4 linked regions of the Drosophila melanogaster genome follow. The protein of the gene in region 3 interacts with the protein of the main gene of each other region in a pairwise test. Each region holds a gene or a part of one and is shown on either strand. Other genes may lie near its edges. The genes, in order: Pka-R2, CG33229, CG31999 and Mpcp2.

Region 1 (7,839 bases), on a different chromosome or scaffold from region 3:
ACACTCTATATATACGCACATAAAGAAAGAGGGCAGTGTTGGGCGGTTTGATTCAATTTCTGTTCGCTTTTTGTTGTCCGAAGGTCGTGGCTTTTATTGGCCGTTTTCGGTCCGTACCGTTTCGTTCCGTTCGTTTCTTTTTTCCTTTTGGCCAAACAATTAAATTTTCGCTGTGTGAATATTTCTTTTTATTTCGTTTTTTTTTTGCTTGAATTATGATTATTTATTCAGGCAGCACCAAGAAATTTTCTTGGCCACTTTTTGAAGAAGACGCAAATTATGCGCAATAATTTTTTCCAAGAGTGTGTGACTCACTTTTCATATTTACACATAATTTATTAATATCCGTCAAAGTTTTGAGGCATTATCACCGCAAATCAGAATACAAAAAACTTTTGCGACTAATTAATAATATCAACTTAAGTTTGACGGCGCACCAAAGCTGATTTCCATGTTTTTCGACCACCAGGTGGAAATTGAATATTCAGCAAATATTGCGCATACGCCGCGTTGCCTTTGTTTATGCGATGCGTTCTATTTCTGGATTGCGAAATTAATTGCGAATCAGAATTGAAAAACAATTTTCCCAGCCAATTGTTTGGCATAAAAGAGAATGGAATGAAAGATGTACATATATCGCCGGGAATAAAAACAAAAAACGAGGACAATAAAGAGAGCTTCTTGCCTTCATTGTCCTTTCGTTTTTGTGATGAGTTTTTCACGTGCCGCTGTATTCACCCTTGTCAATTCCAGTTACAGGCCGCCTAAAAAATATGAAACATAAATGGAAGCCAAAGGACTGCTGTCAATAAAAATGCCTTTAATCCGACTGGCAACTTTTTCATTAGTTCCTTTTCGTTGGGGGGGAGGGCTGGCTCCACTAGAATTTAGTTTTTAGTTGTATTTTTAGAACATTTCCCCGTGTTGAGCAAATATTATTGATGACTTTCTATTCCAGCCCGTGCAGGGGTATCCATTATGACTGGACACGAATGCGGGGAATCGAATCAATCAATAAACGAGGAATCCCAGCTGAAACTAAGCCCAGCTGAAGTATAAGCTCCATGGGTCCAGGAAACGTGAGGACATGACAGGAATCTCCCGCCGTCCTACGACAATGAGCAGAAAGGAAGGCAAAGGAAAGTAAAGGGAGTGAGTGGGAGTGGGAGTGGGTGCTAGTGGGCCCGAGGCCATGGTGGCGGAATAAGGGCCATTCAAGGGTGGTGGCCCCGGGCCATTGAATCGAATACGCATTGAAGTCGTCCTGCCACGGCTTTCTTTATGTGTGTATGTATCTGTGTGTGTATATGTGGTGCGCACAGATTCGGGCCACAATCTCGCCCTCTTAACTCGAAATTGAATTTGGCTTGGAAATTGTGTGCTTTGCCGCTGATGGAAGCTCAAAGAAGCTGGGTTTGGAAAAATCACATTTTTGAAATTCGAAAGCTGGAAAACCCCACCAATTGGTTTTTTTGCCACGTCCAGTTTTTGAGATATGAAATTTCAAAGAAGTTCCAAAAAATTCGACATTTTTGTTTTATAAGAGTGGGCAAAAAAAAAAACTAATTTTAAAGGATAGGCAAACGAAATTATTTATTGGGCAAACGAAAAAAAAAAACAAATTTTAAATGGTGTGCAAACGTTAAAAAGTCAATTTTTTGATTTCCAAAAATTTTCGAAAATTTATATTTCAAAATATAATATTTCAAAACGTAGGCAAAAAAAACTAATTGGTGGGCAAAAACGGGCAAACGATTTTAGCTTTCAAATTTTAAAAATTCGATTTTCCGAACCCAGCTTCTTTGAGCTGCTGATGGATGTTTGTCTCTCGCCTGTTGGTTGTTGGCCAACTGTGTTGCTGGGCTCTTATTCTCCTTTGTCCGTTTGGCGAAGATGCCAAGTTTACAAAATGGAGGAATTAATTGCAAATACAGCTCATCGAGAAGGAGCTCGAGAATTTATTATCTGGATTCCGTTTTGCAACAGGGGAAAAGAGGATATTAAGAACGGGAAATGTAGTCGGATTACATAAAAAAGGGTGTAACTGGGGAATTTTGAATTCAAGCAGTTTAAAAGTCTTAAAAATAGATGGCACTGCATAGAAAGGCACCTTCCAGTTGTTTAATAGTTCCTGTTGTTATTTTCAAAGAAATCTGGGTTACATTTAAATCTAGACAAAGAATTTTAAGTTATTTGAGCAAAATGATTTTACGATTTAGTCCACGCCTAGTACTTTTTACAGTACCATTTATATGTTTATTTTTGTTTTTATAAAGCTTGTCCAACCCTTTTATTAAGTTTTTATGAAAGTAATTATTGCTTTATAAAGGTGAAGTATATATACATTTGTAGAAACAACGGGTGCCTGACTGAGCAGCAAAACTCATAATTTTCCTAAATTATGAAGTGAAGTGTGCCAACTAGTCATACTAGTTGTACTTGAATGCTTTTCTTTAATTTTCAAACTTATAGAAGCGAATTCTATAAAAGTTATCCGGGGGTATTCACTGATTTATGGCCCGCGTACTCATTTCAACAATATTCGAGTAGAGGTATGGGTACATATATGGTGGGGCTCATTCCAGAATATCTCAGTGGCTTTCTGAGCACTTCGATCCCCGCCACACTAGCTGTAGTATAACCTCACCTGGCGACCCACCTGCCCAAGCAGGCGACTTTTGCTGGCTTTTTAATTTCTGTTTGCTCTTTAGTTGTTTAGTTGTTTGTTTATCAAGCAATGCCAACCCTTGAGCAATTGATAAGCGCGTGAAATATTTAATCGCACGGGGAGCAAACACAAATGGCAGCGGAATGGAAAGGAATGGAATGGAATGGAATGGATTCCAATGCGAATGCGGCGCGATACTCACCTGACTTTCTGCTGCTTTGCTGTCACCTGCTGGTGGTGATAGTTTCTTTCGGGTGGGTGGGTCTCCTGCGTCCACCTGTTTCACCTGCTCCTCCGTCTCTTTCTTCGCTGACTTTTTTTGCCTTGTTCCTTAGCTTGCTTTTGTTGTTTTGGCTAAAACCAAATTTAATTTGTTACTCTCATGGACTTTCCTTGTTTTTCTACATTTATTTTTGGATCGTTGATGTTGGTGTTTATTGCCGCTTTCGCTGTTGTTTGATGTTTTGAAAGTATTTCGGTTAATAGATTTTGATTGCTGGATTCGTATTTACTGAGATTTGAGCGATTTTTTAGTTGTCGTGAGGTACACTTTTGAAACATCAATTAGACGAGCTCCAGCCATTAAACTAATTTTCAATCTTATCAATTTTCAATACGGTGAATTTTTGTACATGTATGTAATTAGTTTTGGTCTGGTTTCACTTTATTTGTTTTATGCCTAATATTTAATTCCCAAAAGGCATGAAATAATAACATGCCAAAAGTCACGTAAACCAATATTTAACCAGGTTTTGCAAAAATTTCGTTTAAGCTTTGAAGAAAAACATTTTTGTTGTTCGCCAATGTAACTGCTTAATTAATTGGGTGCCCGAAATTGTTTTTCGCTTGAACAGACATTTTTGTTTTCTTGTGTGCTTAACTGCAATTGTTGTTTATTTTTGAATTGCTACAGCGAGCCAGCACAATTCATTTGTTCGGTTATAAATAAAATATGAAGTGAATTCTGGTTGTCACTTTGCAAAACCTAATAGGAAACACAAATTAGCGAACAAAATTGACGTGATTATTTTGCTTATTGCTCAAATTTGATCAAAACCTGCTAAACGATGGAGGAACTTTTGTTTTTTTTTTTGCGAAATAATTTGTTCAAGTTGGCCTAAATAAACATGTTGGTTTTTGTGTATAATTAGGCATTTGTATTGTTGTTTATTCTCTACTTTCTTGCAACTCCTACGTAAATTGACTTTATTTTGCTTGACTTTTTTGGGTTTGTAATAATGTAGGGGCTAATTCTGATTGGCATCCTGAAAAGCTGGCGCCCGTGACCCAATTTCCGAATATCGATAGGCGTCGATAACGCAGGTAGCAGTTGCACTTGCACTTGCACTTTTTTGAACTATTCTTTAACTATTGTTAAATCCAAACAAGATATGATATCTGGCAAAAAAAAAACTACTGATTAGGGCAAGTATTTAGTTAATTGATCACTGCACTTGTTTAAGACTCGAAAAATAGAGCGCTCAAAACCGGCATTTGAATCATATGCGCAAGCCCCTCTCTCGCTCCCCACTCTCTCTCAATCTCTTCGCGCTCCAATTTGAGATCCCCTTTCTCCACCTGCACTCCGCACTCGCTGTCTCTTTTTCACACGCAGCTCTCGTGTTTATTGATTGTCCCCCACCGAAAAAAACCTTCAAGTAACAACAACACAACAACAAAAGCAGCGGATAGGTAGATTTCTGTATGTATGTATTTTGTATTTTCGGGGGAGGGATTGGGAGGCAGGCCACCTACACCGCCTCCCGCCTACAGCCCACTTCGTTTTTTATTACGCGCACGTAGTGTGGTTTTTTTTGCTCTCTGCTCTCACATTTTTACATACACTTGCACAATTGAAGAGAGAGCGAGAGGTGATAAGTGCACAGGTGTAGGGGCGGGGGGCGGGGGGCGGCGCGAAGCTGGAGTTAATTTGCGAGCACGCTTTTTTGTTTTTCGGGCTTTTCTCTTCGGTGCAATTACTTTTTCGACTTTTAAACGCACATTTTCCAGCGATCCACCAACGCACAACGGCACACGGTTCTATATTTTTGCCACCGGCGATTCAACCGCTGTTACTCGTTAGATTTTTTGAAAAATTTTAATGGCAAACGTAAACAAGTGCGAACGGTGAAATATATCGCAAGCAGAAGCCTCTGTATTCCGATTCCGTGTCAGGCAAAAATTACAAAAAGTTTTGAATTGCGGGTTGCTTAAATAGACTTGGTGCTCCCGCAAAAGCTCGCTCTCAGCGGAAGCTCTCTCTCTCTCGCGGCCAGCTCTCTTGCGTGTGGGTGTAAAAATACTGAAGAACATACCAAAGCGGGGCAATTGTAACGTAAGTTTTTCAACGGTTGTCTTCAGATATTTAGAAAATTAAATAAAAATATATGTAAGAAAAATTGACTACTTAAATGAAAGAAACCCCTAAAATGATAACACAATGACGTATTAAATGCAGCATTAAATGGACGTATAGTCCATTTTGAAGGACTAATAATATAAAAATCATTTTTTATTATTATAATTCCTTTGGTGGTCATAACAAACAGTGGGAACTGAAGCGAGGTCTAAACAAACGTTTAAGATGCAATATTTTAAAAACAAGATGCAGGTCGATCCGACTGTCCACTGATCATCCGTAAGGGCGTTATGATGATCGCATCATTGTATAGTCTAACGGCGGAGATGTCAAACTCGATAGCTCTATAGCTCGGATTTGTAGATAGTCCACAGCTTCATCAATGGTTGGGATCTCGGTTTTCCCGGATTTCGCTTTGAATAGCGGGTGCGTACTGTGCGTTTCCGGACTGGACTGTTCCTTCCCATTGTCCATGTTTATTGAATCAAGCGCTTTAAATTCAAATCGCAATAAATGTTTTCATTTCACTTCTTGAGAGAACTACATATGTTACCAGGTGGAATGAAAAATCTGTGCATTATTATGAACCTGACCGATTAATACCATTAACCGATAGATACCAACACTGGTATTATGTTCAGACCACATACTGTCCACCGAGGTTGCACGTGCGTATTTTGTTTGCAACAGTTTCAATCGAGTAAACGAATTGTTGATGAAAACGATGCTCGCCGCCCCCACAGCCAGCAGCAATGGGAGGCCTATTGGGCCCCACAAGTCCTGGAAGAAGGTGAACGAGGAGCGGAAAGCGTTGAAGCGGCAGCGCAAGCAGGACAAGCTGCTCAAGGAGCTGCAGCAAGCCAAAGAGGCAGAATCACAGGCGGGAAAGGCAGCCAATGAGGTGCAGGCTAAGGATAAGCCTAATCCGTCCACGCTGAGCATAGCTGTTCCCGGTTCAATTCTCGAGAATGCCCAATCCAACGAGCTGCGGGCCTACGTGGCCGGTCAAATAGCCCGGGCCGCCTGCATCTTTCGGGTGAACGAGGTAATCGTCTTCGACGACGTGGGTATAGCCACCGCCCGGGAAACAAAGCGTAGTTACGAGGCAGATGGGGAAGGCAGCAGCACTGGCACTGTGCGCAGCAGCTCATTACAACTGGCACGCATATTGCAGTATCTGGAATGCCCGCAGTATCTCCGAAAATACTTCTTCCCGCTGCACAAAGACCTTAAGTACTCTGGCTTGCTGAATCCATTGGACACACCGCACCATCTCCGTCAACAGAGCAAATTCAGGTATCGTGAGGGCGTCATTTGCGACAAGAAGGCCAAGGAGGGACACAGCTACGCCAACGTGGGGCTGCTTAACGACGTTTTGGTTGACAAGGCAATAGAACCAGGCGTCAGAGTAACTGTAAAAATGGAACCTCAAAGTGGTAGGCATTTAAATCGAACATTTGTGCTCCCAGTGCCGAACTAATGAACTATTCGTCCTAACAGAGAGCTGTAGAAAGCAGCGGGGAACACTAGTTAGCCCGGATGAACCACGTCGGGAAACAGGTGTTTATTGGGGCTACCAGGTGCGCATCGCACACTCCATGTCTGAGATTTTTACCAAATCACCCTACGCAACCGGCTACGATGTTACGGTGGGTACCTCGGATCGCGGAACCAACGTACATGAGGTGCCCAACCGATCATATAACTTTAATCACATGCTCATTGTATTTGGCGGACTGCAAGGCTTGGAATCTGCCTTGGCCAACGACGAGAAACTGACCGTAGATGATCCTGAGCTGCTGTTCGACCACTATGTAAATGTTTTACCACGCCAAGGATCTCGAACCATTCGCACCGAGGAAGCGCTGTTGATTGCTTTAGCGGCTCTCCAGGAGAAACTGCAACCGCAAGTGGCTGATGTGGAGATCGATTTGACTGATCTGCTACCTAAAAGTGAGGATTCAGGCATTGCAGTACGGCGAGATGTTTTAGTTAGCAAAAAGCAAAAGAAAAGGAAGCAAGTAGAGGATACTCCTGATGAAACAGTCGTTGATGAACCTTCATTTTCAAAACCATTGCCGAAAGTGGCTCGACTGACGGCCAATCCTTTTGCCGATTCCTCCGAGGAATTAGCGAAAAACACCCCAGCACAAGACGATTTTGAAGTGGTTTCATCCACCACCGTTTCTGGAACAAGCCACTCGTGTGCAGATGACGACTTAAGTCGGTTCGATTAATGGGAATAGTTGGAATTTTATTTTTGTAAATATACAGATCCGTATGTGTTGCTTAAAGTTTCGCTTTTGATTTTCTTGTTATTCCACTAAGCGTGTATACTATTTTGTTTTTTGTTGACGCGAGCTATAACGAGCTATATTCCTATATAGACATATACTTTTGTTCGAAATGTTCTAATAACTTTATCCTTACACACTAAATTAATACGATTTTAAATTTCAAACTCGAATGTCCAAGCAAGAATTAAGATTTTGATCTCCTAACATTTTTCGCATTATCACTTACATACATATACATTACAATTGTCTATCGACTCATTCGTAACTTAAACATAATAACCTAGTTGTCCCTATAGGATGGACTGTCTGTACCTCTGTTATTTACACACTGAAAGTATATGTATGTCGTAAGGAGGCTTCACAACTGAATCTCTAAATGTAATATGTAGCTACATTGTCGCTGGTCATGATTAGCTATGGAATCGAGTCTTGAAATCGCGGCTCTGGCAGAAAGTCCTCCTCCAACTCGATGCGCGTATCGCTGTGATATCCTAGCAAAGATTCCGTGTCCTCTT
Region 2 (7,000 bases), on a different chromosome or scaffold from region 3:
CGACGCCACTTAAGAAAGAGGAAAGTTTCGCAAAGCGGGTGCATGAGAATGCGCTTCTGTCCCACTTCTATAAGGGAAAGTAGTAGCTCGGTTTCTCCCCGATCCATCGAGGAACTGGGTACCAAAAGCCGGAAGTCTAGCTTTATCTGACAGTCAACGTCGCCGATTTCCTGGTCGTTCGCCTTTATCGAAGAGTCCAGCTTTTGCATTAATTTGGGTATAATCTCAGGAGTGCGCCTTACTATAAATGATAGTGCCGATACACGCCCGTCCGTCCTGGCGGTAATATCCGCCCCGTGTTCTGCGAAAAAAATGGCCATTTAGCAATGCAGACATCGTTGAAAAGATGATACATGTCCTTGCCTATGAACGTGTACACACAACTGCTGAATTCATTCAGTGCTGCAATGTGCAGTGGTGTATATCCATAGTTGTCTGCCTGTAAGTAATAATCATACATTATTCTAATCGTAAGTAAAAAAAACGTTATGGCTTTACTTTTGTAAAACTTTACAAAGAAGGCTCCATGTTTGTTAAGATTTTAGTTTAGTTTTAGTTTAGGTTTCACTCTAAGAATGACGTAAAGAGCCACTGGAGCCCTACACAAATGTATGTATGCAACGTATTCTCACTAAAGTTACTGTATTGTATTATTTGATTTACAACATTTAATGAATGTTATAACATGGTATGCTCGAATTGAACCGATCTTCCCGTATGCATTCACTTTAGTTGATGAGCTAGGAGCTTACGTTTATAAAAGTTTATAAAATTATATTTTATGTAGGATATAAGCGTATGGTAAGTAGCCAGATAAAGATCAATATAAGCCTTTATATAAAATTCTTGTCGTTGTCTCACAAACTGAATGCCTCGGCTGCTATTGCTCCTAGTTCTCAGTTTGGTTATAGTTTTATTAAAATAAAATTCCGAAATAACGTTTTTGACGATTAAGTAATTTAATTAATTTCGTTGACCCTTCCTCATTAAGAAAAGCGAAGCGGTTTATACTAATATCTTCATTATCATTTACAATACTTTTTAGTAGAAAAAGCACATTATATTAAATAATGGTTTTTTGTGATCAGCTCTCATAGTGATCTGCCGCCTACCTTGTTAACATCCGCTCCCGCCTTTAGCAAGGCATTGCAGCAGTCCAAACTCCGCGACTGCTTAACGATGGCGGCGTGCAACGCGGTTCTACCATCTCGGTAAACGGCATTCACATTGGCTCCGTAAGATATCAGTAAATCCACGGTGCCGATTGACTGCGAAAGGCAGGCGAGGTGCAAGGGCGTTTGATGGCTGGCGTTACGGCAGTCCACCTCAGCACGGTGTTCCAGGAGCAAGCGAGCACATTCTACATAGTCGTTTTCGGCAGCTGCAATTTGTGGATTTACCAATCTATTTTGCAAAGCACTTGTAAACCCCTTGCCACTACTCACCCAAGTGCAGGGCCGTAACCTTTCCCTCGCCAAACTGCGATCGCACGTCGGCGTTGTGACTGAGAAGAAGCTGGACGCATTTGGCGAATCCTGCGGCGCTGGCGGTGTGCAGTGGAGTTTCAGTGTACACCTGCGGTGTGTTTGGGTCGGCTCCGTACTTCAGCAGGATCTCAACGCAATCCACGGCATTCACATCGATGGCATAGTGCAGAGCGGAACGCTTTTCGATCCCAATGTTGATGCTCGCTTTTCGCCGCAGCAACAGCAGGATGCATTCAACGCTTTTTGAGCTAATAGGGAGTCGCTTGATTAAAACTACGTGTCTAGTGCTGTGCACATGTGGGAAGCGCAATCAAATGAATGGCCTTTTACCTGGCCGCACAGTGCAGCGACGTGACCTCCTTCCTGGCATCCCAGCGATTGGGGTCAGCGCCGAAGTCGAGGAGAACCTTAGCTATGGGAGCGTTTGCCCGACAGCAGGCGAAATGCAGTGGGGTCCGACCCCGACTGTCCGCCACATTCGGATCCGCGTTGTAGTGTTTTAGTAGGAAGAGAGTATTCTCTACGCTCCCGAATACCGAGCAGCAGATCAGCGCCAGATTGCAGTCAGCAGAGTCGGTCATTAGTTCTATGTGGGGGTTAGTCTGGGATATGTTAGGTACCGTGCTGTGAGGTACTCACCCAGGAAACAGCCAGATTGAACCATGTCCACGACATGCTTTCCGCCTGGAGACTCGGTCAGGGTTTCCTTAACCTCGTCGAGGTCCCAGAGGATCTGGTTCTGCTGTTGGCGCGCAAATATCTCGTGCGCCTCGTCGCTAAAAACTCCGGCGCTGTTGGCCTCACTGGATATGCTCCGCTTGTCCAAGAGCAAGTCTACATCCGCCGTCGGATCGCTTTCCGAGTTCCACTTCAAGTCGTTTTCCTTCCAAAAAGAAACAAAGAATTGCAGGCGGCTGAAAGCGCGAGGCATGTAGGCCAAGTCGTTTTACTTACAATAATTGAAAAGCGCACGTTCTCCATCTTAACGCCGCCACTTCTGTCTGCGCCGATTTGTTTACACTCCCGTGGACCAAACAACAATAAACTTTTGGATGCGGCCGAGTCGGGCGACTGTTCAGCTGGCTCCGGCTGCTGTTCGGGTCGGCCCACCCTTCTTGTTGGGGTCGACTACTTACACTTATTCGCGGAGATAGGCTGCGATCGCTAATAAGTCATGACACGCAAATAATTATCCCCAGGCCAATATGTGCGGACACTCAAAATCTCTTGTGCCCCTAATTTGTGTGATATTGCTGCATGTGTGGCGACGTTCTCTTGTGCGATCGGTTTACTTCGATATTTGTTGGAATATCTGGATGTCTGGCGGATTCTTCGCACCGCTGGCAATGGCAATCTGTGCTAATTTTTCACGTTCGCAGCTGCTCCCCCCACTTTCCACCTTCGCAGTTGCCACTGATCCGCCACTGGATATGTTAATTGTGTGCACGACCGACGGCAGCTAAGTTGTACGTCGAACTGAACCGATCGTTCCAGATCTCGGCCTCCAGTGCCTCCAACACTTCGCACTTGTTCATCGTAGGTCTACTTGCGGTACGGACGAGTGAGCGGCTAGCAAGGTGCGTAGGAATATAAAACATACTGTTAAATAGCCCGCCAACCAATCTCTAGACGCCAGCCCTGGCATTTTGCCATATTCAACTCGAAATACACTACATGTAAGTTAGGGGTAGTATTTTGTTGAGGATGTCCCATACTTCGACATATATCGCTGCCTTTTCATAATTATAGGGATTTTTTGCAGTGTACTAGGTCCGTTGAAAAGTACCTACAAGGTATACAGTTTATATTAGGCAGCAGATGTGGCAACGCCCATTCTAAAAATCTATGAAGCCGGCCAAAACTGCAACACCTCCACTTATGAAAAGTGTTTTGGTTTTATTCTTCTCATTATTTTATTTTTATTTTATTAGTCTATTTCCAATTTCTACCGGTATACCATCTAATGCACAGCAACTCTCCAAAATGTTTTATATATTTTTTTTCCTGGGTAACGGGTATATCATAGTCGAGAAACTGGACCTTATCGTTCTCTTCTGCTCTTATATGCAAAACAGATCAACAGATCAATGTAGAGCGCAGATTATAGTTACAATTTCATAGAAGACATCAATCACCCCTCGTTAGACTGTCCCAACCAATATACTGAGTCAGTATACTTTTGCGGTATTTTTTAGGATTTTTTGTACATACAAAATGGACGACTCATTAAAATTAAGTTAAAAACCACTACTTTGAATTGAAGTTTTTTGCCATGCCCATGAAGACCACTAAAATATGACGTCGGACATCGATTTTCAAGAAACGAGACCGTGTTCTTGTGTGGTTATCACGATCCGTAGGGCCAGCATTCGAGCAGAAATCGTCCCCAAAAAACAGTTTCCCTGCTGGCTGAGACAAGAAAAACGCGTAGATTTGCGAGCAGAGCTATAAAAGGGCGCGCAGACAACGCGCTCTACCCAGTTAAAAAGAGTGCGTTGTGTAGAACAGTCATAAGCAGTCCGCTAAGAGATTAGTAGCAACTACGAAGTGAAGGTGTGTGTATACCAAATTCTCAATTTTCTCTTCGAGTCGTCGCAAACAAAAACCCTGTGAGATCATCGAAATGGTGGCGTACTACGACGAGTGCGACGCAGCCGAGAACCCCAAGACCCTAACCGACTGGGTCCGTAACTTCCGCGTTAAGCGCCAGAAAATGCGTCGCAAGCTAAGAGGCGCTGGCAGCGACCTACGCGTGAACGCCATTTTGTCGACGGCCCTGCTCCACGCAGAGCACGAGCTGCGTAGAAAGCAGCAGGAGCGCTTCAGTCGCTGGCTGGACATTCAAACACGGTTTGTGCCCCACGGCAGAACGCACTGCGCCAGTGACGCGTACTCTGCAGTGGCGACCTCGACCACCAAGGCTGCCGCAGAAGCAGAGGCGGAAAGCAATTTATGGAGCAGCGAGCTTAGTAGCCTCGACAGTTTTATGCGTAGCTTAAGCAGCAACAATGGCAACCAAGACACATGCAACAACAATAACAATGGGAGCAACAGTTACACGGGCGCCAGCAATAACAATAACAGCAACAATGAGCAGCACAGCTGCGCCATTGCCGTGGCCAGTTAGTTAGACAGAGACGACCGTATGGTGCGTACTTTATGTGTATGCGTGGCTGACACACACATCTATATAAACAAAATGGCGTCAGGATGGAAGGAACCGTTTAGTTTTCAGCTGCCCGTTCGAATCAAACCGTATACCATTGTTCAAATACGTAGCTTTAGCCCTATTTGTCTTCTGTTAAAATAGTTTTATTACGACAACCAATTTCTCATTTGCAGTCGCAAACATGTGCAAGGCTGTTGTAGATTGTAAAGAAAGAATGAAGGATTGGAAGAGTGTGAGGAGACGCTGAGCAAACGGCCTTCAAATCGAAAGTGGTGTGAGTCATGGGCGCTGCCACCATCTATGCGAAAAGCCCACCAAGCATTGGTCACGGAGCACACTCGGTTTGTAAATAAGTATATTTTTTTTAGTTAAATTACGTAGCTTAATGAGTGTGGCGAAATAAGACGTCGCTTACAGGCATCCCAAACGTCACGAAATCGGTCAGACAAAGAAAAAAAAAACTCGATATACTTACACAATGCATACACATTAACACATCTACATGTCGCGATGGTGTGTGAGCATGAACGCTCGTGCTATTTTTGTGTACACCAAGTTGAGCTACTTTTGTTGTCCGATGTGTCGAGAAATTCGATTTCGAATTAAATTCGAACGTTCGTCATCGCCACTTCTGCGAGTTACATACGGTTCATATTGAATCACTAGCGCTAGAAAACGGGCAATATTGCAAAGTAAACGAGTGAAAGTCGAAAACCCAACTATTAACTGTAAATGTACTTAAAGTAAGCATACAGAACTGATATTTGATAAAACCTAAAATAAAACTATTATAATTAATAACTGTTAAAATCAACGTTGCCTTTATTTATTATTCACCCAGACCAGACTCAGATTTGTTGCTAAGCAAGCACCAACCCTCTCCCCGTTTGACATAACCCGCACCTATAATCAATTTTGTTTTGCAGTTTCCTGCTCCTCGCACGTTAATGGCAACGATGATGAGGAACGGAACACAAACAAGAAACTACGTCGCAGTGGGTCACTGAATGAATCCGCGTCCCGGTAGCAACAATAGTTCGACTATGGCTGGTACTGGTAAAGAAGAATCCCGAACACGATCGTCGCAGTGACGATGACGTTGCGTTGTAGAATTACTGAGTGAGTCTCAACGTCTGTCCGAGTCCCCCCACGTCCACCGCCAGGCACTGAGTTCCGCAAACCAGCCGATGGCCGATTCTACACAGATCGCCGGAGCAGGGAGCAGCAGCAGCAAACACCACCGAGTCTCCTCTGCATGCCAATGCCCATGCAATTCAGTCGCAGCGGACAGAACATTGGGGACAAGGCGGAATGCGCGCGGCAGCAGCTCCAGCTCGCATCAGCTTACCTGCGTTTGAAGCTCTCGTGCTGTTGCCAACCACCGACAATCACCACCTATTCTGCATTGAACGCTTCGCAGCTGCTGATCACCACCCACCCATCCGCACAGATACACGGTATTTGGTATATCAGCTGCGAACAAAATATTGCTTTTTAAACAAAATTCCAGAGAAAAGAACAGCGGAGCATTCATTTATCATCGAAACGACATTGAGGAACTGCTGTAATCCTTTCGGGTGAACACCGTGTGCGATTGTTATTGTGATATACAATTGAAAGGCAGTCGTCGAGTTTTTATCTTTCTGTCTTCGCTCGGTACACTTTTCTGGACTTCTCTTTCACCGTTTGTGATTTTGGCAAGCGATTATTGGACCCCTTTCCATTCAAACTCCCCATCTTCCTAATCAATAGGCTAGATAAGGCCGCTTAAATCTTTGTAGCTGCATGTCACAGTTGATCGGTTCCTGTGGGTGCTTTTGTTTGATGGGATTGCTTTGCGGTCTTCAAGTATTCACGGTCTTGAGGGCTCCAGACGAGGATCTTTCCAGCAAATCTATGCGCAAGCAGGCGTCAAAGAGTTTGTAGACTAGGCACGACCATCACATTTCGTTTTTTTTTTTTTTTTATAGCGTTGCATCGCAGTTGATCGGTGCCTGCGGGCATGTATAAATGGAATCTAGCGAGGCGGAAGATTGAGGTCTTCAATTCTATGGCCCCAAACAACGCTCCTGCGACATCAATCCCTCAATTAGAATATGTGCAAAGAAGCATAACTAATCAACTGAACAAGCGTAAAAGCTAAGATATATGCAACCGATATCTTTTCTTTCGTATTTTGTAGAAATACATTTTCATGGACTGATAATCTACAGAGAATACCAACTCGGCGCTATGGGCCCGCCCAATACATGTAAATTTGTGATTTTATGTCCAAAATATTTTTTGTCTTGTAGCATTATGGGTGCAGTTGAATGTACCTGCCCATAATTAAAGCCTGCAAATC
Region 3 (7,911 bases):
CTAGTTTTATCTGTATTTCAAACAGTTTTTAAAATTACCTTTACATGCATCGTAATCATGGTCATAATGAAATCCTGGTGGACACTCTTTTTCTTTCACATTTAAGCAGTGGTATCCGCCATTCGTATTATGGCAATATTGGGATGATTTGCAGTCATGAAGATCTTCCCGGCATTCATCAATGTCAATGCATTTGTTATCCAGTTTATCTAAATTGTAACCGCTGGGACATATTTGGGTTTTCATCGGAGAGCATGTTACGTTGTTATTATCTAACATAAACCCGGGGTGGCACTTACATTGGTATGCGTCGAAAGTGTTTTCGCATATGTGAGCGCAAAGGTTTTCAATTTTTCCACATATGTCATCTACCAATGAGTACAATTAATTATGATTTCAAATGATACACAAATAAGATATACTTACCATCGCCGGTAAGAACAATAGTTACATTCATATCCTCTTCAGAAACAAACGGCAATTCACCTTCATCAGTAATAGAATTAGCCTTATCGATTTCGTCGATACCGGGCTGGTCTTTAAAGTCAGCAGATCCGTAACAGCACGCTCGGTATGATTCAATTAAGAAAATAAATGAAAATAATGGATCTTTGCAATTGGCTTTACTCGCTTTAACTGCTAATCCGATTTGACAAGAACGACAACATGTCGCATAGGAGCTAGATGTTACATTTCCTTCTCCGTCACAGCGAGTACCGTCTAAAGCAGCCAGTCGACCTAGCTCGCAATCTTGATGGTCCAGTTCTCGAGAACAGCAGACTTCAAGTGTAGAATGACAAAGTCCAAGCCAGAGCTGCGGGATTATTGTTGGGGCTATGTCGATTTTTTTGCAAGAGGCGGTCGTACGAGCATGTCGAAGTCCATTTATACAGCATTTTCGTATATAACCCGATATGCTGTCTTAAAACAAAATAAAACTTTCACTTTCGCTTGATCACAGGATATTTTAAGCCAGAGTATATATTGGTAAAAATCAAAAGGTTTCAACTCTATAAGTATTCTTAGTCAGTATCAACACATGAGTCCATATGGTGATGTCCCTTGCCCGAGGCTAGCATTCTTTTTCGTCATTTATCAATTTCATATCCGAAATCTAAATACCTTAGTGTGGTAATAATTTTAAAGCCTTATAACATAATAACTTAATAACTTAATAACTTAATAACTTAATAACTTAATAACTTAATAACTTAATAACTTAATAACTTAATAACTTAATAACTTAATAACTTAATAACTTAATAACTTAATAACTTAATAACTTAATAACTTAACAACTTAATAACTTAATAACTTAATAACTTAATAACTTAATAACTTAATAACTTAATAACTTAATAACTTAATAACTTAATAACTTAATAACTTAATAACTTAATAACTTAATAACTTAATAACTTAATAACTTAATAACTTAATAACTTAATAACTTAATAACTTAATAACTTAATAACTTAATAACTTAATAACTTAATAACTTAATAACTTAATAACTTAATAACTTAATAACTTAATAACTTAATAACTTAATAACTTAATAACTTAATAACTTTATAACTTTATAACTTTATAACTTTATAACTTTATAACTTAATAACTTAATAACTTAATAACTTAATAACTTAATAACTTTATAACTTAATAACTTTATAACTTTATAACTTTATAACTTTATAACTTTATAACTTAATAACTTAATAACTTAATAACTTAATAACTTAATAACTTAATAACTTAATAACTTAATAACTTAATAACTTAATAACTTAATAACTTAATAACTTAATAACTTAATAACTTAATAACTTAATAACTTAATAACTTAATAACTTAATAACTTAATAACTTAATAACTTAATAACTTAATAACTTAATAACTTAATAACTTAATAACTTAATAACTTAATAACTTAATAACTTAATAACTTAATAACTTAATAACTTAATAACTTAATAACTTAATAACTTAATAACTTAATAACTTAATAACTTAATAACTTAATAACTTAATAACTTAATAACTTAATAACTTAATAACTTAATAACTTAATAACTTAATAACTTTATAACTTTATAACTTTATAACTTAATAACTTTATAACTAACCTAATACAATTTTAAAGATTTGCCCAAAATATACAATGGGCGGTTTCAGTAGGCAGGTACATATATAAATATTCATATCTATTGACATATAAGCAAGTATACTACACATTACTTACCACTGGCCATTGTGGTGGTGACATGCCCTCCAACTATCAAGAAACACATAAAAGCACATAGTTTATAAAACATAACGGGTTCAGAAATCAAATCCGGGTAAAAAATAAAATTAATATAAAGATGGGAGCTTTAAATGAACAGGTCAGGCAATGAATGAGAAAATAAAGAACGCTCATGTGCATACGCTATCTGGAATTATCTCAGTCACTTAGCAGCGCACACATGCATGTTTGTATATGCTTGTATGTATGTATAGCAAATATATAATTTTAGAACGAAGAGGATTTAAGACTGAAACGCGTGTGGGCCAAAGCAAGCTGTTGACATATGTATGTACATATGTATGTATATAAGCCTACGCTATACGTTACATGTATTTACGTACATAAATATGTTTATTGTTCGACGACCTGCTGTTATATTTTCTTATTAAACACACTTTTATTTGCTAATCCCAGGTTTTGTGAATTGGAGCAATGTGAATTATTGAAACTAGGTAAAGGTAGCAGAAAACGTTTAAGATATGATCAATATACATACATACATATGTTCATTCAATTTGGTCACATTCTTCTCTGGCATCCTGAGCAAGTGCTCTGACCGAGATTCGGGGGTTCGCAATCACTATTCGTATAATAATGCGGTCTACGCGCTTGATAATTTTGGTTGTGCGCCAACCGACTCTTAGGTTCAAGCCTCTCCTCTTTTTCCGTGCGATTTAAAACATTGTAGACGGTCGTACGGGATACAGAAAACATTTCTACTAATTCTGGAATAGATTTTCCCAACTGGTGGTTATAGTTTATTAATTGGGTAACTTAAACAATTAATCTCTTTCCAGGCATTTTATCAAATTTAATAATTTACTTTAAGCACGTTCGATCAGCAAAATTTCACAAGCAAAGTCAAAAAATTTCAATAGAAGCGTAAAAATGCAATACAAAAACCAACCACGGAAAAACCAAACCAACCAAAAACCACGGAAAAATCGAGTTAGTTCTAAGAAAAAAAACAAGACAAAGTACGAAAACAAAATGTGTAGAGTTTCTTGACTTGTATATTTAATATTTTAATTTGTTTTTTGATTTATTAGTATAATAAATATTGTTTAATTAAATTTCATAAAAAAATTCCGTTTAATTAAGCAAATAACTCTTAATTTTTACCATTAAAGCCAAAAATTCAACTTATTTCACAGTGTGCAAACAGTTTCTTGACAAACTGTATGTATATCTCGGTAAAACCAAAGACACTATTTTAGTGTCTAGACACTATTCTAGTGTCTTTGGTACAACCATACCTGCTTAACTGTGACCGTCGTTTTGTCCGCTCTTTAAAATTTGAATTTTTTATTATATTTTATATTTTATTATACATACATACCTACGTTTTATAATAACTATACACAGATAAACGATGACCGACGGGGGCAAAGAGCTTAAAATCGGCTAGCAATCTAGATCAACAACATACATATATATGTAAGTGTTTACTTATAGGGTCGGAAATGGTGGCTTATATGTAAATATATATACATACAAATATATATACTTTTTTTTGGCGCAGACTATTTACCCCTATTACCCATCAAACCAAACCAACTCTTAAAGATGTGAAAAAAAGTGACGATCGAACAATCTACATGCAAGGATCTGATGTCAACATTTGAATTCATTCAACACTCTTTAAAACAATATTTATTTATTTTTTTAAAACTTATTTATATAAATCATTTGATGGAATTGAAATAATAGCTGTTTTTGCCAGCAAATAGATTGAGATATTGAATATAATACAAATTTTCTTGATCAATCAAAACCATTTGAAAAAATTGATGAAAGTTAAAATTTTTGTTAATACTGAGGATTATATTGCTCATGGTTAGTTTAGAAAAAACTCGTAAAACTCAATACCGATTAAAATTTGGGACAGGTCCGATAGTGAAATTAAGGCTACACGTTTGAATGAAATGCGAAACAAAAGAACAAATTCAAACAATTTCGGCTGGTGGAGATCAAGACAACACATAGATAGATACATACCTACATAGTTGAAAAAGCTTTAAAACAAAGCTTAAGCGTTGTCACAATACCTTACAAAAAAGCTCTGATCTGCATCAACAAGCATGTAAAAGATATTTTAAACATACATACATTAAATCAGTCTTTAAACGTTGGTAGATCTGGTCGATTGATTCCATAGAGTACATTTTTGAGAATTATTTATTTAATATTCAGCTAGGATGCAGTCTATGACTATCTTTAATATAATTACACAGTTAGTTTTTTTATCGAAGACTTTAAATGGAAACTTAAGTGTTCAACCAGTTTTCCAAACACTTGATGGCTATGAATATACTTCGCAGTCGTTTTCGCAAAACTTACAGAGTGAAAGTCAACTGGAGATCGTTTATGAATGGAAATATTTGGATTTCCTATACTCAACTTTTGTGCAACGCCAACAATCTATTTTAAATGGGTAACAAAACAATTTGGTTATAACAGTTTCTTACAAATCAAGAGATAATTTGAAAAATGTATTAATATTAATAACAAATTGTAGTACTAGTAAAAAAATCAAAAAATACGCCTTTAATAAATTTAAAATGCTTGTATTGTGAGAGGTATAAAAGAAAATTCGAAAAATAAACTATTTGACGCTCTTATGTCACAAATAGTCGAGATCCCCGACTATCAGATATCCGTTAATCAGCTCGTGGAACTGCGAATGCGAAAAAAAATTAACAAATTAATATCTTATCTCGAAAACTATAGGAGACTAGTTCTTATAAATACTTTCTTTTCATTCGAATCATTCAGTGCGTCTCATCCATATCTTTAATATTGATGAATAAATCCTAGCATTATCTCTAATGCTATAGTCGAGATCCCCGACTATCAGAATCCCGTTACACAGCTAGGGAAAATGCAAATGCAAATAAAGATCGACGTACATGGCCAGTTCGACTTGGCTATTGATCCTTATAAAGAATATTGTATATGACCATATAGAACATGGTCAGAAACGCTTCCTTCTGGCTGTTACAGACTGTTACATAAAGGATTATCATAATCTGGCTTTATGTGTTATTCTACTGCGCTGAATTTACTGTCTAATTATTATAATATATTAATATTTACAGAGACTTTGTACCAAAAAATAATTTACCTTTAGGCATTGATGTCCATAATAACCGCCTGTTTGTGACAACTCCTCGTTGGAAGAATGGTGTGCCTGCTAGCTTAGGTACACTGCCCTTTCCTCCAAAAGAGTCAAGCCCGGCAATAAAGCCGTATCCAAACTGGGAGGCTCATGGAAATCCAAACAATCCTGACTGCTCAAAACTGATGTCAGTTTATCGAACAGCTGTAGATAGGTGTGATCGAATTTGGCTAATTGATTCTGGAATTGTCAATGCTACAATAAACTTAAATCAGATCTGCCCACCAAAAATTGTTGTGTATGATCTTAAAAGTGACGAACTGATTGTTCGATACAATTTGGAAGCTTCTCATGTGAAGCAAGATTCGTTGCACTCCAATATTGTTGTGGATATTGGAGAAGATTGCGATGATGCGCATGCTATCGTATCGGATGTATGGAGATTTGGTCTACTTGTTTACAGCCTATCAAAAAACCGCAGCTGGCGCGTGACCAACTATAACTTTTATCCGGATCCCTTTGCTTCGGATTTTAATGTATACGGATTAAATTTTCAATGGCTGGATGGTGTTTTTGGAATGAGTATATATTACAATAAGAAAATAATGGAACGCGTTCTTTATTTTCATCCAATGGCAAGTTTCAAGGTGAGTATAAGGAGTATATAAATAAAGACAAGAAAATGGCTGGGAATTGATTTGATATTGATTTTAAAAAATGCCTTTCTTAACATTGTCTTTATTGTCTAAATAATGGCTCGCCGACTTACTTTTAAAAACCCCTCCTACAGCTTACTACTTGATCAGTCTTACTTAAGGTACTTAAATAAATCTAAATCTTAAGTAAGCTAATTATCTGCAGCTTGTAGGGTCCGAAAAGGCTTATTTCTGTTTTATTTTTATTAACCAAACTAGCAATCCCTTATACTCTACGAGTAACTGATATAATAATAATAATAATTGTGATTATAATACTTTCTCATTTAGGAGTTCATGGTGCCTATGAATATCTTGTTAAACGAATCTGTGTGGCAAACGAATACTCAAGAGTACGCCAAGTACTTCATACCAATTGGAGACCGCGGATATAATTCTCAATCATCTACATCAGGAGTTACAAGGAATGGCATTATGTTTTTTACACAAGTTCATCAAGATGATATTGGATGCTGGGATACATCGAAACCATACACTCGAGCACATTTGGGAAAATTTCATAATATGGAAAACTCAAATCTTATTCAATTTCCAAATGATTTAAAAGTAGACAAAGAAAAAGATCAAAATGTATGGCTTATAAGTAACCGACTACCAATTTTTCTATACAGCAATCTAGATTATGGAGAAGTAAATTTTCGAATTTTAAAGGCGAATGTAAATAAGATTATTCGCAATAGTGTTTGCAATCCGGATAATAGTTATATTAATACATCAAAGTCAGCTTTTGTGTTGATAGAAGAAGGACAGTGTTTTTGAAAACTATGGTAAATAAACAATTACACAACAAAATGTTGTAAATTTTTGAACAACCTTGGTATTTGCGTCCGTTACAAATGATACTCTAGTACCTTTTTTGAAGGTTTGGGTCTAACAGATTTTTGCGCTTTGTTGTGTCCAAGCAATTAACTAAATTGACTAAAAGAATAACAGTTTTTAAACGTGTACGAGTTCCAAATTGGCATAAGATCGGACTTTTAAGAACATACGTATCTAAAATTAGCTTTCTAGCTTTTAAAATTTTAAAGATCACGAAATTAAAATGGACGTACATTGCTAGATCAACTTGGCTTGCGATTCTGCTCGAATATTCGAAGTATATTCTTTATGGGTCAGCAGTTCTTCCCTCCGCCATTCTAGTTTTCAACGAATGAATATTAGGGTTCAAATTCAAACGTGTATACAATTGTTTGTAATATATTTATATTTTTTAGTCGTACTGTGAAAGGTTATATCCAATTGTAAGAAGTAACAGGTAGGGAGCGTGTTCTTTCTTCTATTGTATCTTCAAGTTCGTGTTATCGTCATTAGTTTCCTCTGAAAGTGGTTTGATTTTGGGTGTACTTAATATAACATCTCTAAAAGAGAATATTACTATCTATAAAGAAATATCGAACATCAATGGATATATGTATATTCATGTTACAGTATTTTCTCGAGATATTACTTTGAATATAATCAAATTTGGGCGATGTTAACTTAAAGATGGTTCGCACTTTACTCATTCGTAAATTTAAGTTTTAAAAACAAGGTATGTATGTAAGTGCATATAAGACACTGCGACTTATAACTATAAAAATAGTAAATAAAGTACTCCGTTCCAATAAAAGGGGCTCTCATCGATGCGCTTGTTTGCCGAACAAAGATGCTGTATACATACGTATAAATTTACGAGAAAATATTTTTGTATTTGTGAAAATAAATGTATTTGTGTGTGACTTTTAAATACACATTTCCCAAATTGCTGTATGCGAACGAGCCGATAATCAAGTAAATAAGCATGTGGACA
Region 4 (7,986 bases), on a different chromosome or scaffold from region 3:
ATTGTCCGTGTGACCTGGGATGATTGGAAGAGCCAGCAGGATATCTTCTGTACATACGCCAGGGCCTATGGACCGGCTACTTGTGCTCATGTAGTCTTCGATACATTCTCCTTCAAAATCACCTTGCCGCCATCCTCCAAGCGCCTGGAATTCTGCATCTGCTATCGCACCAACGAAACAGAATATTGGGATAATAATGATGTGAGTTTGGCATCAAAATAACTTAAAAAATATTTTACATAATTTGTATTTGCTTACAGGGTAAAAACTACACCATTAGCAAGCGATCGCCCTTTTATTACAACGCCTTGTCGCCCTATGATAAGGGTCAGAATCGCAACTCGAGCCAGCAAATAAGGTCCACCCTGACCGATGCCTTGGCCAAGGTGCAAGACCAAAATGGCTGGCACCAGGAGCCACATACGCCATATTGGTGAAATCGCCTGGGAACGGGATTGGATTTTCCTGACCCAAGCGATTGAATAAAGTTTCTCATTTAGGCCACATGAACAGAAAGAAACAGAATTGGAAAAGATTTAAAGTGTTATAATCAGTTTCATTGACAGAGGGAGAGTCCAAAAGATTTTACCACTAACGAAACTTTTTGACCTAAGCTAATACCCGGTACAAATATCCCAATTTTAATGTGCCATTGACTTGAGGTTTACTCAATATAAAATGAGATAGGAGGGCTTATAACTACTTCTACTGAGCGAAGCCCGAATTTGTATGTCTTGTCTTTAGTCAACTTGATGGAATTTCAAAATCTATGTATAACTTTTTAAAATGTTTTATGTTTGACTGTAAAGAATTTTTGGAAAAGATAGATTTATATGTTTACCTGTATGCCTGTGTGATCGTCTACATCTATATAACTGATACTAGATTTATGTTAACTAAAAACGAAAAAAAAAACCTTATAAAAATGAAAGGAGATGAATTTTGAGGCGTGAAGCATTCAAGCAAACCATTGTTTCGAAATTTACTGCAACTGCAAAATAAAGAAAACAAAAACCAACAAAACACACATTATGAAAGAACACAAGAAAAGCAACAAAATTGTAGCCCTAAGTTTATTCGTTTTATTACTTTTTATTTCTATTCTTTTTATTTCATTATACACTTTTATCTTTTTGGTTACTTGAAACGCTAAGACTGAAATGGCTTGTTATGGAGAAGAAAACACGTCCTGCAATACATTATATAATAAAAAGAACCCAGCAATTTTCGCATCACCACATTACAGACAACAAAGTACTTTGTCCTCATCGTTCTGTGTGATCCAGATCCCCGACTATATATGATATATACACCTAGCTAGATTTAAGCGATTTGTACATACAGAAGCAAAAGCAAAACAATATACCAGAAAATTGCCTGTTAAATACATTTATATACACATATGAATTTAGTTATATCACGATGACTAGTTTTTAGTTCTTAGAGGTTATTTAGTTAGTAAGGAGCCCAACTGACGTAACGTGAATAAATCAACTATATATGTGCCCATATATAAAGCGTACTATTTAATTATTTAGTTTTTACTGGACTTATGACACAACGAGCCACTGTAATGTCTTATTCAGCTCAATGCTCATAAACAAAATAAATATTTTTGGAAAAAATACTGTAGTTCTTCTTATTTAGCCAAGACGTCCAAACCTTTTTTTAATAAATTTAATTGAGATGAAGATTTGCATTCGAATTCTATAGAAGCATCAAACAAATATTACAACAGTATCGAGTGGGTTATTAAAAATTAAATATGTAAAAATCGCTCATTGTGTTAAAATATTAATTATAATAGATTAGCTCAAACATCTTAAATCGACATTTTGTGCAACACATAAAAATTCTCGCAGACAATTGGCAGCTGATTACGATTAAACAAAACCGAAATTAGCCGTTTTCCTTTAAAGCAATCAGCATTCGTGATCTCTTGTTTGGTTACCTCACAATGCTAGTTAGTTATAGCGCCATAAAACCCCATTTTCAATGTCAGGGAAATCATAAGGTCATAAGGTTATCCCCACGATCGTTCTAATGTGATCACAGCCACAATCTATAATAACCAGTTCCCAATAGATAGACAAGATTAGAAAACGCAGCTTGGTAGAGTTTTTTATATTTTATAATTTAATTTATTCAGAGTGCTTTCTTGGGTATCGGGTCAGACAATTGAAACAGCATTAATATCATATTCGCATGTGTGGCCTGTGGGGGCAGCGGAGAGGAGATAACAAGGGGCTGGCCATCAAAGGTACAACATACGGACATACTTTCCAGCGAAAGCTAGACACACATAGGATTAAATATAGCACATAGTATAACAGAATATATATGGAATTGAATACTTTGAACTTGAGTGTAGCTTAGTTTCGTACGATAGAATGTTTGGCTTTTAAAGTTAGAAAGATGTGTTTATAAAAAAGTGTGTATAAGTGCTGTGTTAGAGAAATGCGTAAAGTGTTGTTTTGGAATGTACATGTGCAATGGCACACACGCAACATTAATGTATTCTTGCTGAGAAACAAGTATAAAGCATTTTCGCTATACTGAAACCGAAATTCGTTAGAAAGTAAAAGTATGTTGCTCCTGTGTCTGCCCACAATCGCTCCAACTAGTGAACTCTGTCCTTAAGGTAACCAATTGGACTAGCCCACTTAATGCTGCTTGGCCTTCAGGCTAGCTGGCATCTCTGGTGGTGGTGGGCGGGGAATGCCCAGGGCGACCTTCACACCATCGTAGATGAACCACTGCAGAGCGGTCAGGGTACCGATCATGATAATACGAGGAGTCAATCCGTTCCACATGCCACTGAAGCCCAGCGACTTGGCCACGCTGATGGCGCTAGCTCCCTTGGCCTGGTTCAGCTTGGACACCACCACATCAGCGGGATGCGACACCACGGCACAGAACACACCGGCGATGTAGCCAGCGGCGAAGGTCACGATCAGCTGCTCGCCCTTGGTGCAGTCGGCACGAGGCTTGGGCACCACATACCTGGGAAAAGTTGCATCATTAGTATTGATTTAACGGGGTTCGTTGGGGCTTGACAACCCGAACTGTGAACGGTATTGCTCTAGTTTTTACATTTGAACTTTCAGTGGCTACCTGCTAATTTGCACTTCAAAAGGAATGCTTTGCTTTTTTTATTTTATCCATAGTAACAAACTAGTTCTGAAATAATATGATTTTCCTATATTTGAACAAGATAAGCATTCGTCGTTGGTTTTTATTCTGGCGTGCCATTTATTAGATACGAATGGCATTCTTATCTGCTGACGCGCTAAAAGTTTATTTTATTATGAATACTTTCAGTTTTGATCAATTAGCATATCACTTTTGAAATTTCACAGATTAACAGTCTACCTTTAAACTATTGTAATAGCAAAACGCTAATACGAATACAGATATTGTGCACAGCACTGGTAAGTTTTTCCGCTGTAGAAACTAGAGGATACCTAAAGAGGAAATGTTACTTACTTGTAGAGCAGCTCCACGGTGCGCTCGAAGCAAGCGAACTTCATCATGGTGTATGGGATCTGTCGCATCCACAGGGGAACCAGACCCTTGTAGAAGGCATTGACGCCCTCCTCCTTTAGCATCTTGGGCACTGCCTCGCGGAAGTTGTTGGCGTATCCGGGAATAGTCTGGATCTTCACCTTGGCGGCCTCGAACGGCGCCAGAGCGATATCGGCGAAGAACTCGGCCGAAGCGGAAGCAGCCAGATACAAGGAGGTGCGGTACAGGTAGGCGTTCTCCTCGCCAATGATTTCGGCGTACTTCACCTTGAACAACTCGTACAGACCGAACTTGCACAGACCCTGAAAGATACAGAAACGCGGATTAGCCTGCTGTTTCTCAGAAGTTATTTTTCAGTTTGCAGTAGTATCCAAGATTTTATCTTCGGTATCTGTTTCTCCCGTAACCATAAAGTTGTCAAAGGTGTGTTGTTATTCTGAGGTATACTAAGATATCAGCCTAGGAATCAAACTTCCTAATGTTCGATTCGAATCACTTTTATCTGCTTCAAGCCCGGAACCGATGTAATTAAGGTCAGCCGACCTGGTCACGAGCATATAATTCGCCTCCAGACGATTATGCAACCCATAAAGTGAAGCCCAATCTCACCTGTGCCGAGTAGCCGAGCAGAGTGGGGAACCAGCCCTTAGCCAGTCCGCGGGCGCCCTCCTCCGCCACGGTGACCTTGAATCCGTGCACCAGATTCTTGTACTTGGCCTGGTCGACCTGCAGACGGCACTTCACCAGATCCAGTGGGACCACGAAGGTGTGGGTGGTGCCGCAGCTGAGAATGCCACCAATTCCGCACAGAGCGAAGTACTTGGTGCTGCCGAATTCGCACGAATCCTGCTGGTTGGCCACCGGGGTAGCGGCGGCGGCGATCTGGCGACCCTCAACCGGCTGGGGTTCCACCACTGGGGCGGCGGCATCGCATCTTGCCATCGACATGGGGGTGCGGAATGGCGAGTTCCGGGCAGTTTCAAAGAAGCTGGAGAACATCTTGATTCTGTTCTTGTTCTGGGGTCGGCTGAAAGTAGAGAGACCATCCATTAGTTACGTATATATGTACCTCGGAGGCGACATGTGCTTTATCTAATTATATATATAGCTGGGTAATCAGCTGCTTTTCGCTTTTGTAGGTTACATAACGGCGTGCCTCGAATTCCGAGCACCCGGACTTACGACACCAAATTTACCCGAAAAGCGAAGGATTTTAAGCAACCACGTAAATTTAGTGTATGTTAAGGGAGCGATAGAGCACCGCTCGGCTACTTTGATTTCGATTTTACAAAACTTATGCAATTTTCGCTCGGAATTTTCGCACTTACTATTCGTCAGCAACGTTAGCGGCTCGTTGGCGAGGATTCAAAGAATGAGGGGGGGCTCACGGAGGTGCAGCGATTTCTCACGAATACCAAAACGCCTTAATGGTTTTGCCGTGGAGAGGTGTAACTAGCGGATTGAGGATAGTTGGCCACACTCATGTCAAAATCTTCGGCTATGGACTGCAACCTTGGTGCAAAACTTTGGTGGCGCCTGAGCGTGGACTCGAACCATCTGCATACGAGGTATCAGGTGAGATTATTTTAATGCCATTGCCTTCGTTGTGAATAAAATATTAATTATTAATATTAATTTCATATTGATAACATTAGTTGTAAATATTTTGAAAAAATAATAAATTCATTTGTAAAATCCTCATATTTTTGCATAGTATTTGTGATTTGTTTTCTATTTTTACACAATAAAACAAATTTTAATCTAAAGCTTTATTGTATTTAGAACTCTCTGTAAAATATATAACAATTTTCAATTATATGTACATTTTAAATTTATAAGTTATAGCCCCATGGTAAAACTGGATAATTTTATGAGTAAATATGTGAAAATAAAGTTCTGCCATGATTTCACATGGGGTTGGCCCAATCCTTCACTTTTTACGCACGGACAGGAAATTAGGCCTTTGTATTCCATTTTATATTTCACTCTGCAAGTGAAGCAAAATTCACCCTGGTGATCTTCAGTTAATAAGATTTGACAACCGATTTCTGGTGACCAAACGCAGCAGACTTTGGCATTCATAGTATCTGTAAAATTAAAAAATTAGTCTTTTATTACTATTCAAATGCTTCTTATACCGATATGCAGTCCGGGTGGAACGCAAACACCCTCTTTATTGGTTGTTTTTGGGAATTCACCTTGTAGACGACCCAATCGCCTATAAAAGTTTCCTTCATAACAACTGAATCCTGTCTCTTTAATCCGACACATTTCCGTATTTTCCTTCCTACAATCTAAGCATCTCCCATTTTCTATTATAGATACGTTTTTTTCGGCACAGGTGATCAACAGTCTCCCACTGAGTATAATAAGAAAATATATACAATTAAAAGACATTTAAAATAAGAAAAATAATTCAATGAGACCGCGTTGATAAAGTTTATGTATGTATTTCCAAAGGCCACTATGTACGACTATTGTTACAAAACGAACAAAAGTGACTGATAATATACACTTGGATATTTATATTATGTAGGTTATTATTAAGTTCAAGGATTATTTAAGCCTTTCCGCCTTTTTTGTGGTTCTTACCAAAAGAACTTCAACGGACTCTTTCGCTAAGCTTTGAGTCTGTCTTTCGATTGTCTTTGTGCTTCTTTCTTTTTGTTTGCCGCCGTCTTTGCTTTTGCTTGTGCTTTTGTATTTGCTGTGTTTGCTCGCTCGTGGATTTCTGTGGAGTGAAGTTCGGTCGTCAGTTTGAGTTTGGTTCGTAGCGCGTTCGCACACGCGCGCTGTAGTAGTCCGATATATAGTTGATTCCCATTCGATCCGAGATCCGATCCGATATGATCGTTGTTGTGCCCCTCGCCGCCTCTCGCTCGCTCTAATCAGTTGGCCAACGTTTTAGGTCTGCGTACTTCGCGGCTAATTTCCAACTTAAGAAGTGAAAAACAACAAAATCTGGCAAATAATTGAGTAATTAAAGTTAAACGTAAGGAGAGCTGCTCTGCCAAGTGTTTTGTGTTAGTGCTTTTGTGTAACGGTCTGCTAACTGGAGCTGGATCTGAAATAGAGATTACGGCAAAGTGTTTTAGTAAATTGAATGTGGATAAGTTTTGAAAGCTTGAGAGTGGATGCGATAAACTGATCGATTTGGGTTTAGTCTGAGAAGAGGAAGCTTAAGTCGAAAAGTAATCAAGAGATTGGTCATGTTTTTGCAAGCGGAAAAGAAAGTTTGATTTAGGAGAATCGAAAAGTGATAACAAATGAGATATGAACTTAAGTGAAATATGGTTTAAGTAATAATAATATAATACATAATATGCATATACAAATGAATGAATATATCTTTCTAAAGAAAATACAATTAAGTTTTTAAAAATATTTCAAAATATCCTGTTAAAGTCTAGATTGAAGTAATCAATTACAATAACATTACACTTTGTATTGGATAAAATCAATAAAACATTGCAAATGTAGCTTTTTGAAATGTTTTGAATGGTATTAAAAACACCTTCGATCAACATAAAGAAAAGCTCACTGCATGTTGTAAGTGATCTCATAAGATTATCTCATTTCTATAAGCGGCAAATAACATGTAAACTCTGAACTGGTCATTTTAATTGATATTATCTTAGTAAATCTGTGTACATTAGGAAGATTCTATATTTAATAAATTAGGTTCCGAGTCTTCTAATATTTCTTAATAATTCTGACTGTTAGTGGTTCTCCTTTAAACAATTCATGGAATTTTATTGCCCATTTAAAACGAAGTGAGTCCTAAAGAAATTCAAAGAAAAACTAATCAACACCAGTTGCGACTAGTTAACCAGCAACAAAAATTGGCAACTTCCTTCAGTTGGGCGCCAAGTCATTAGCTACCCCAATCCTCCTCCTTTTTTCGCCAGTTTGGGGGCCCACTCAAAGTACCGCTATGACTAGACAGGCCTTGTCCATATATTTCTTTATTTTTTTGCTTACGAATATATATGCAGCCATTAGCCACCGCATCAACAAACGAGACGCCACAAACACACTCTGATCTTTTGAGGCGTTTTGAGGCGTTTTGACGTTTGCTTTGGGGCCCCTTCACTTTTTGTTGTGGCACTGCAAGAAATTGTTTGCTAGAAAGTCATTCCACAATGTAAAATTCGAGATAGAGACACTTCCTGTGTATGCTGAAATTTACAATTTACAACAAGACGACAAACTTTTAATACTTAAACTGTTCTAAAAATTTAAAAATGGTTTAAATTTTATTTATAATGCAATCTTAAAACCCCTATTTTATTTATTTGTTTATTGTACCTTTCTCGCTCTTACATCTTATCACTACTTTTTCTGCGTGCAGATCGTGGTTTTTTCGTGTTCGGGTGAAAAAGTTGCCGCGGCAAGTGCAATTCGCAGTTTGCCGTTCGCGATTCGCATTCCGCTGGCCGAAAGTATCTTTGGAGTTTTGCA

What was found.
Region 1: the proteins of CG31999 (region 3) and Pka-R2 interact in a two-hybrid assay, tested with the Drosophila melanogaster proteins (one large-scale study listed by BioGRID).
Region 2: the proteins of CG31999 (region 3) and CG33229 interact in a two-hybrid assay, tested with the Drosophila melanogaster proteins (one large-scale study listed by BioGRID).
Region 4: the proteins of CG31999 (region 3) and Mpcp2 interact in a two-hybrid assay, tested with the Drosophila melanogaster proteins (one large-scale study listed by BioGRID).

The regions. Positions count from the first base shown.
Region 1 is NT_033778.4:10,021,181-10,029,019, forward strand, and holds the start of Pka-R2 (protein kinase, cAMP-dependent, regulatory subunit type 2), read right to left. Parts: upstream 4,863-7,839; 5' UTR 4,649-4,862; intron 3,180-4,648; exon of another isoform or gene 3,023-3,179; 5' UTR 2,871-3,022; intron 1-2,870. Other genes in the region: CG12128 (uncharacterized protein), read left to right, coding at 5,743-6,463, 6,528-7,264. UniProt on the Drosophila melanogaster protein: Regulatory subunit of the cAMP-dependent protein kinases involved in cAMP signaling in cells. Mediates membrane association by binding to anchoring proteins, such as Akap200. Might play an essential role in the regulation of neuronal activity in the brain.
Region 2 is NT_037436.4:220,144-227,143, forward strand, and holds CG33229 (uncharacterized protein), read left to right. Parts: upstream 1-3,708; 5' UTR 3,709-4,110; coding exon 4,111-4,614; 3' UTR 4,615-5,462; downstream 5,463-7,000. Other genes in the region: pyx (pyrexia), read right to left, coding at 1-301, 364-439, 1,113-1,381, 1,446-1,735, 1,818-2,073, 2,127-2,370, 2,442-2,468.
Region 3 is NC_004353.4:223,519-231,429, forward strand, and holds the start of CG31999 (uncharacterized protein), read right to left. Parts: upstream 4,231-7,911; 5' UTR 4,158-4,230; intron 3,033-4,157; 5' UTR 2,317-3,032; coding exon 2,244-2,316; intron 922-2,243; coding exon 427-921; intron 369-426; coding exon 39-368; intron 1-38. Other genes in the region: yellow-h, read left to right, coding at 4,487-4,722, 5,387-6,053, 6,393-6,881.
Region 4 is NT_037436.4:14,534,570-14,542,555, reverse strand, and holds Mpcp2 (mitochondrial phosphate carrier protein 2), read right to left. Parts: upstream 4,906-7,986; 5' UTR 4,854-4,905; intron 4,831-4,853; exon of another isoform or gene 4,708-4,830; intron 4,553-4,707; 5' UTR 4,525-4,552; coding exon 4,135-4,524; intron 3,828-4,134; coding exon 3,487-3,827; intron 3,004-3,486; coding exon 2,664-3,003; 3' UTR 2,115-2,663; downstream 1-2,114. Other genes in the region: Gbs-70E (glycogen binding subunit 70E), read left to right, coding at 1-201, 261-437; CG43246 (uncharacterized protein), read right to left, coding at 5,365-5,612, 5,664-5,922.